Linked DNA regions of Oryctolagus cuniculus. The protein of the gene in region 2 interacts with the protein of the main gene of each other region in a pairwise test. Links are inferred from orthologs where the notes say so. Each region holds a gene or a part of one and is shown on either strand. Other genes may lie near its edges.

What was found.
Region 1: the proteins of KIF5B (region 2) and PRKAR2B interact in binary tests that used the Homo sapiens proteins (3 or more experiments, as listed by UniProt). The two-hybrid records come from large-scale screens. The link is inferred for Oryctolagus cuniculus from reciprocal best matches to the Homo sapiens genes KIF5B and PRKAR2B.

What each region holds. Positions count from the first base shown.
Region 1 is NC_091434.1:137,089,639-137,094,049, forward strand, and holds part of PRKAR2B (cAMP-dependent protein kinase type II-beta regulatory subunit), read right to left. Parts: intron 2,314-4,411; coding exon 2,207-2,313; intron 1-2,206. UniProt on the Homo sapiens protein: Regulatory subunit of the cAMP-dependent protein kinases involved in cAMP signaling in cells. Type II regulatory chains mediate membrane association by binding to anchoring proteins, including the MAP2 kinase.
Region 2 is NC_091444.1:102,452,174-102,456,584, forward strand, and holds part of KIF5B (kinesin-1 heavy chain), read right to left. Parts: intron 3,246-4,411; coding exon 3,057-3,245; intron 2,442-3,056; coding exon 2,324-2,441; intron 1,762-2,323; coding exon 1,700-1,761; intron 1,603-1,699; coding exon 1,493-1,602; intron 1-1,492. UniProt on the Homo sapiens protein: Microtubule-dependent motor required for normal distribution of mitochondria and lysosomes. Can induce formation of neurite-like membrane protrusions in non-neuronal cells in a ZFYVE27-dependent manner.

The DNA of each region.
Region 1 (4,411 bases), on a different chromosome or scaffold from region 2:
ACTTAGGTTAACCCTCAGCCTAAAGTTCAAAATGATAGAGAAATTCAGACCAGGTATCCAACCCTGGTCATTTTCTAGTTTTACTGTGCTCATCTCTCTCCCGGCCACTGGACCACACGCCATCTGGCTCTCAGCCACATTCTTGGAGTGGACAGTGTCATCCCACACACAGCGTGACTCCAAGGCTTGCTGAAGCCCAGGTGAGGGCACACAGAAGGGATTCTTGGGCTTTGCTGTGCTCGTTAAGCCCTAGCAGCCCTAGCAAAGACAAAACGGGTGTGATGGTGGCAAAAAAAAAAAAGTGGCTTTTCCGATTAGAAAAGGAAGACTGTAACTGATAAAGGAACACTAGGGGCTCTAGAAACACATAGGAGAAAAGCAGGTTCATGAGTAAAAGAAAAGAACCAACTGGTTTTTAATGTAATTCATGGGTTGGTGCCGCGGCTCACTTGGCTAATCCTCCGCCTTGCGGCGCTGGCACCCCGGGTTCTAGTCCCGGTCGGGGCGCCAGATTCTGTCCCGATTGCCCCTCTTCCAGGCCAGCTCTCTGCTGTGGCCTGGGAGTGCAGTGGAGGATGGCCCAAGTGCTTGGGCCCTGCACCCGCATGGGACACCAGGAGGAAGCACCTGGCTCCTGGCTTTGGATCGGCTCGGCCCAGCCCAGCCGTAGCGGCCATTTGGGGGGTGAACCAACGGAAGGAAGACCTTTCTCTCTGTTTCTCTCTCTCACTGTCTAACGCTGCCTGTCAAAAATAATAATAATAATTCATGGACAACTGTCTCAAGGATATCGCGTACATGTGTAGCCAGTCCTCCTGCAATCACAGCAGGAGTGAGTCCGCGCGAGTTCTCGTGTGCTGCTGTTCCTACAGGTTTCTTCCCTGAAAATGCACGGCACCAGGCAGTGCAGGCTGGGGAAGGAGCAACAGGGCCGGGAGACCTGGCTGACCTGACCAAGTCTCAGCCCTTGTGTGCATCTGAGTGTTTTACCTTCATCTGAGAAAGGGATCAACAGGATCTAGTGAAAAGGAGAGGTAGCACATACAAATCCAAGGAGGATTTTAGAGTCAAAACTACCCACTTAAAAAAAAAAAAAAGGGAGGCACACTGTGTTGTATGGGGTTCTCGGATTCCCCTGCAGCGAAACACACAGAGCTGGAAGCACCCTGAGGCGGCTCAGGGGATGAAAGCTGTCGGTGACACCGGAGCCATGCCTTGGAGTTACTTGTGGGGTAACTGGCTTTGCTCTGTTCCAAGGTCCAGGCTGGTGCCGGAGCTACAGGTCACCAGGGTCATGAGGCGACCCTGGATTCACAGAGCACACACTCATGCATAAAAGACGCTGCCCCAGGGCTGTCACCGAGGCCTTGGAGCTGAACACACATCTACGCAGAGGACAAACGCAATCCAGCAAACCAGGCCGGAGGCCAGCGGTCCTGCGAACACTCATCACTGTTTCACTAAGATGAGGAAACAGAGGCTTGGGTCTCCCTTGGGACTCCTCTGTTTATCGCACAGGTGCATCGTTCTTAGATGGCTTGAAGCATGACTTCGGGTTTCTGAAGTCAGGTTTCCAATATACATGCATGCCTTCTCATCTAACTATAATAACCCCTCCACAGAGTTTTCAAAGACAGATATAATAATGCACAAGCAATTTCTGGAAGGATACATCCAGATGCACTATGGTGTATGGATGAGGCAGAAGCGTTGAGAAAAATGGCTTAACTCTTCACCTTAAGCCTGCCCTTCCTAAGAACTGTATTGTTTAAAATCATGCTTTATTTTCACAGTTAATAAAAAAAGAAGCTTCTTAAAAACATAACACATACAGAGTTACACTGTGAGTTAACATTCTAGCTGTTGCTGTATTAAGTTTCTGTTCTCTAATTAGTACCTACGACCACGGATGCTAGTACATACCATTCTCTCATAATTTAGCAACAATCAGATGTGCACACTGAGTGACTGAGATTTACAGGTTAAATTAACCAACATCCACCAACTCCTACCCAAACCAGGCCTCCTTCACGCTCTGCTGTGGTTTCACCGCATGCACGCACACAGCTTACAGAGCCTGGAATGCAGCAGAGGGTAAAGAGGGAACAGCGACTGCCACCCACCAACTTGGCAGCTGTCTTGGTAACTGCTCAGATTTTACACAAAAGGTTCCTTGACTGGCAGTCATGAGGCCGGTGGGACTCACCTGTCGATGACGTAAAAGTTGTCCCCATCGTCGCCTTGGTCGATGACATGCTCCCCTTCCTTGACCAGTTTTTCAAACATGGCATCTAACACTTGAGACATCTGCTCCTGTTTTTTAAAAAGATAAGATATAATCTTCAAGTGTATGCAAAGCGCATCTTCGTAAGCAACCGTAATTACTTTTACGTTTCTGTGAACAAGCTCAGAGAAATGAAAACATCACCACTGCCATTAGTGTTGTCAAGAAGATGCACAGGGTGGTCCTCCTTACACATGCAAATGAGATGATGTTCCCACATTCAGTATCTGAATGAAGGTAATTACACTTAGTCTATTTCAGAATACCTGCAACTGTCACCACTTTAAAATTAAAAAATGAACTGCCAAACCATCAGATGCACTGAGAAATAAAATCTTTTTTTCCTAAAGACTTATTTTATTTATTTGAAAGGCAAGAGTTACAGAAAGAGAGAGAGAGATGGAGAGACAGTGAGAGAGATCTTCCACCCACTGGTTCACTCCCCAAATGGCCATGGCAGCCAAGGTTGGGCCAGGCTGAAGTCAGGAGCCAGGAACTCCATCCAGGTCTTCCATATGGATGGCAGAAACCCAAGTATTTGGGCCATAATGCACTGCCTCCCAGGTGCATTAACAGGAAGCTTGTGGGGAGCAATCCGGACTAGACTGAGTTACTGGAATTAAGACTTATTCTATGCATCTGCTCTCCCACAATATGGCGCTGGGAGAGAAGTAAACAGCTTCTGCACAGCTGCCTCCAGTTCAACCAATAAACTGTAGGACTTGCTCCTGATTGGAGAGCAGCGTACTCGGCGTGTGGGCAGCCGAGTTGGGATTGGCAGAGGAGGACTATAAAGGAGGAGAGAGACGGCATGCACCAGGAACATCTAAGGGGAACATCTAAGGGGAACATCTGTGCAGCCCCCGAGAGAACCGGCCGGCAGTGTGCCGCTCCCCTGCGGAAGTGGGGAATGTGGCCATTCCCTCCGTGGAAGGGATAGTAGCCAACCCGGGAAGAACCAGCAGCAAACCCGGGGAGGGCCGAGCAGACGAAAGAACAGCGCAGGGTCCTGTGTCGTTCCTCCACGAAGACGGGGAGCGACAGAAGCTGGATTGGAAGTAGAGCAGGTGAGATTCTAACTGGCACTCCATGTGGGATGCCAATGGCATAGGCAGCAGTTTAACCAGCTGTGCCACAACACTGGCCCTGTGACATATAATCTTAGTAAAAAACTTACTCAAAACTATTACTTTCAGTGATGCCTGTTTGTAAAACTTCCCTATAATAGTTACCATGGGAATGTACCTACATAAACTCAGGAAATTAAGACCCTAACCCCAATCCTTTTCATTGTGGTTTAGCAACAAAACCAAAACTGAACCCAAAGCGAAAGACAACCAAGCTAAAGCCACCGAGATAGGACCGTGGCAAATCCTTGCACCTGCTTTCTGCCCTGCACGTGGCCGCCACCTCGAGAGGGTGGGCAGGTCAGGAACACCAACACTACCACTGGGCCGTTTCCACTGGATGGAACCTTTGCCAGGAGAATACACGCCTGACGAGGCTTCCTGACGAACTCCAGCTTCTGCAAACCAACCAGGAAGGAGAGATCGCTCCCCGCCCGGGGCGGGCGGGTGTCTGGGACAGTGGCTCAGACACAGCTGGGAGTGCCTGCATGTCACGGTACAGAGCCCGGGTTCCAGCTGACCTCCACTTCCCACCCAGCTGCCTGCAAACGTGCACCCTGGAAGGCAGCAGGTGAGAGGGCTCAAGTACACGGGTCCCTGCCACCTACCTGGGAGGGAGACCTGGCTGGGGAGTTTCTGGCTCCTGGCTTTGGCCTGGATCAGCTGAGTACTGAACCAGAGGATGGAAGATCTTTCTCTCGTCTCTCTGCTTTTCAGAAACAGACACATTTTTAAAAAGGAAATCTTCCCTCAGAATGAATGGAGGAACACTCTGAAGAGTACTGAACAGTAGAGGAGTAACAGAAAATCAAAAGGCTCAGAGGGTTCTTTGGTTCTGAGCGCTTGGTCAGGACACTGCCCAGGCCAAAGTCTATTATTTTTATAAACAAACTAAAGAGCTGGAGAAGACAGATGTCCCAGGGAGATGGGACGGAAGAGCAGGCGAGCATAGGCTGAGGTGCTCTGGATGGCAAGGCTGGCAGGTGACCTGTGAGTTCCC
Region 2 (4,411 bases):
GGATTGAGCCAGGCTGAAGCCAGGGGCCAGGAGTTTCATCTGGTTCTCCCACATGGGTGGCAGAGGCCCAAGCACCCGGGCCATCTTCCAACGCTTTCCCAGGCCATTATTAGGGAGCTGGATGGGAAGCAGAGCAGGCAGGACAGGAAGTGACATTGCAGATGGTGGCTTTACCCACTACTGCCACGATGCTGCTCCCTATCACTTTTAATTTTTAAATGTATTTATTTGAGAGACAGAGAAAGACAGAGCTCCCACCTGCTAGTTGACTCCCTAGATGTTCACCATGGCTGGGGCTAGGAACTCAGTTCAGGTCTCCAGTGCGGGTGCAGCATCCCAACCACCTGAGCTCTCACCTCTGTCACACTGGGTCTACACAAGTAAGACACTAGAGCCAGGAAGAGGTGGGCACTGAAGCCAGGTTCTCGGATATGGGACTCGCAGGTGTTTAACTGCTAAGGCTAAACGTTGTCCCAATTTTTTGAACTCTATCATCTCATTTTTCAGACACTCAAAATATCTTCTGTTATCCTGTCCTCCATAGGTGCAGAAAGAGATAGGACCTTTTGGTCATCCAATATTTTTCATGTTTTAAATAAAAATTATGATTTCATTTTTCCATGTCTTTCATTTCCTTGAATCCTTATTACTGCTTTCGTTAAGTACTAGTTAGATCTATGCCCCAAACTTCTGTTTTGTTGTTGCCATCTTCTGGTTTCTATTCAAATCATTACACCCATCCCATGTAGGTGAACATGATTACCGAAGTAGAGAAATGTCTTCTAGGTAAACTAAGAGGACGACTTCTATTAAAAAACAAAAACCAACCTCTAAACCCTTAATTTCTAATAAAAATTTTATCAGTTAAGAATCAAAAAAACAAAGAAATAGAAGTTAAGCGGGCCAGCCCAGTGGTGTAGCAGGTAAGATTGCCGCCTGCAATGCTGGCATCCCATATGAGCACCAGTTCGAGTCCTGGATGCTCCTCTTCTTATCCAACTCTCAGGTCCTTGGGCCCTTGCACTCATGTGGGAGAACCAGAGGAGACTCCTGCCTCCTGGATTCCAATCGGCCTAGCTCCAGTTGTTGTGGCCAGTTTGGGGGAGTGAACCAGTGGATGGAAGACCTCTTTCTCTCTCGCTCTCTGCCTCTGTAACTCCGCCTTGCAAATAAACAAGTAAATAAATCAATCTAAAAAAAAAAAGTTAAATGATTTGAGGGAGAATGCAATAATGAGTTTAAGCTGAGGCTCTCTCTCTCTCTTTTTTTTTTTTTAACTTAGCATTTAGAGCAAACAACCTAAGAAAATCTTTCAGAACTTTTTAAAAATTTTACTCTACAGTGTGAAAATTCTTTATTTTCCAAGTCAAAAAATAGAATTTCCTTGAAAACAGGTTTCAAGTAAGGACATACTGACCACTAGTAACATTATTTCCTCTGAATTTTTTGCAGTTAGTTTCAAATATGTGAGAGAAAAGAAAAGTATACTTACTCTTGAAGGTCAGTGATAAGTTTTTCTTTTGCCTCAACTTCATCTCTCAAACTACTGATTTGTTTTTGATGGGTTTCTCTGTGGCTTTGGATCTGTTGTTCAACGGCTTGCTAAAGTGTTTGAGGGGAAAGAATGTTAGAGTCAGACTAATCAAAATCAGTAACAATGTATTAAAGCCATCAGAATCCAATCTAAGAACAAACTTGCCTTCACTTCATTTGCAGTCTGAACCTTATTTAAGTGCTCCTTTTCCATTTCATGGACTTTCTCTGTTTAGTTAGGGAAAGAAAGCAGAAGAACAAAGTCTTAAAAGAGTCCTCATATAAACCAATCATGTAAGCCAAAGGGACAAATGGGTCTTATGAGAAATAGGTTTTTCAAGAAACACTCAAAATTAAGTTATCCAAATATCACAAAGTAAATCTTGCACTCCAGGCTCAATAACGCGTTGACTACTATATTTGTGCTGATATTAAGCATTGTTTTTTCTTTGCCTAACCCCAGAACAGAGGGTTAAAGGGATGGTAGGCAAAGAAGTTAGTTTCTAAATCTACTTTAAGGTTTATATACAAGAGATCTTTAAGTCTCCTCATACACACACACACACACACACATAACAACTTCATAATCTTACAGGAAACTCCTAGACTGGCCATTTATATATTCAAACACAATTTTTTTAAAATGTTTCAAAGGCAACTTAAAATATATGATGTTTACTATTCCAAGTTACCCATATTCCTACTGTTCTTTATCAGTGTGAATACAAGTTTACTACAATCACCTAAAGGCAAGAAGGATTAACACAGAACATAAACTGGGAGCTAATACCTTGTGCTCGAAGCTGAACTAGTTCTTCACTGAGGGAGTCGACAGATTCTTCGAGCTGCCTTTTCTTCTGCTCCACATTTTGCAGGTATTCAGTCAATGACTTGATTTTGGCTTCATGCTTTTGGAAGAAATACACTGATATGAACAGGAGAAAAACCTCACACACACATTTTGTTGTTAAGAATATCTGGAGGTACAGTAATATCTAAGTATATTACATATGCAGAGGTATCATGTTGAGGGGGTCAAATTTTAAAATGATAGAGTTTATCAATACACTATTCATGCGTAGAGCTTCTACCACGTGCAAACTAAGGGACTAAAGGCTGAAATATGAGACAGTATTTTTAGAATTTTCTCCATCTAATATCACAGTCTTCCTCCTCCTTGCACAGATTCTATCTGGGGAATGATCCCACTCACTGAGTGGCCAAAAATGCCAGAAACCGTTCCTTGGTAGTACTCTCCACTTTGGAATTATTCTAGAGTCCTCCAAAATCATACCATTCGCATCTTTCTAGTACATTTCCATACTTAGTACACACACACTGACAGCTATAACCCGACTAAATCATTTGCACTATCACACTGTAGTAGTACAGGGAAAACTAACATTTTATTGTTACTCTAGAGACTCATTTTTCTGAAAGCTTTTATAATAAATAAAATATACTGATTTACTTCCACGTGGCTGTTAAAAAAAAATGAGGATACTTTGTTCTGTAACACATACTTGGGAGATGCGAAGCTGGCATGCTGCTAGCTCCTTTTCATTTTCTTCCATTTTTTTGTTGCTCTCGGTCTGTGTGCCTTCTAGCTGTTTGCAGCGTTTCACCATCGTCTTGACTTCTGACTTCATCTTGCTGATGTAGAGCCTGGCGACAGTGAACTCTTCGTCTATCATGCCAGTTCCCTCAGGCTGCTGGGAGAGAAAGTAAAATAAAAAGTAAAGCCAGAAAGTTCAGTGCGTCTTCCCAGTTAGACTCTAGTTCTCAAACCATTACAGAACCTTCAGTTATTCAACATTCACAAAAAGGCTGGAGCTAGTTTTTTTTTTTTTATCGTTTTTAATAAAGGATATAGAAGCAGAGCTTAATTTTTGCCTTTCTACTTTTTCAAACTTGGTATGTTAATACATGGCTTATGAGGAAATAAAATAAATGGAAACCTAATAAAAAAAAAGTGACTGACTTCTGCCTCTGTCAAGTTTTACATTTCCTTTTCACAAGACATCTTCATAAATTCATTGTCAACAATGTGCAAGTTCAGTCTAAAATTATTTTTCAAGATTCATTTATTTATTTGGAAGGCAGAGTTAGAGAGGGGCAGAGGCAGGGACAGAGACCTTCCATCCACGGTTCACTCCCAAAATGGCCACTACGGCCAGTGGTGGGTCTCGAACCAGTGCCCGTATGGGATGCTGGCATTGCAGGCGGTGGCTTTACCTGCTACACCACAGCGCCAGCCCCTCAGTTTAAAATTTAACAAGAGGATGTTTGGGGTGGTAGGGAAATGATGACTTTTGAGTATAACAAGGAAGAGCTGTGGCCATTGCACATTCCTTGACTTTTATAGATTTCATTAAAAAACTCCAATACTCAATGTCAAACTTATATGCATCTTGGATAGGAGGCAATAAAACTGTTGTTGCAGATATGATTGCTTACAAAAATCAAAAACAGAGACAAAACAAAAACACTCCTGGAACGAATAAGCCATGATAGCAAGGTTGCAGGATACAAGGTTAATATATGAAAGTCAGTCACTGCAGCCAGCGCTGTAGCATAGTGGGTTAAGCCTCTGCTTGTGGCACCGGCATCCCAAATGAGCGCCAGTCCTGGCTGCTCCACTTCCAATTCAGCTCCCTGCCAATGGCCTGGGAAGGCAGCAGAAGATGGCCCAAGTCCTTGGGCCCCTGCATCCATGTGGGAAACCCAGAGGAAGCTCCTGGCTCCTACCTTAGGATGAGCCAAGCTCCGGCCGTTGCGGCCATCTGGGGAGTGAACCAGGAGATTAAAGACCTCTCTCTGTCTCTCCCTCTCTCTGTAACTCTGCCTCTTAAATAAATTAATAAAACTTTAAAAAAGG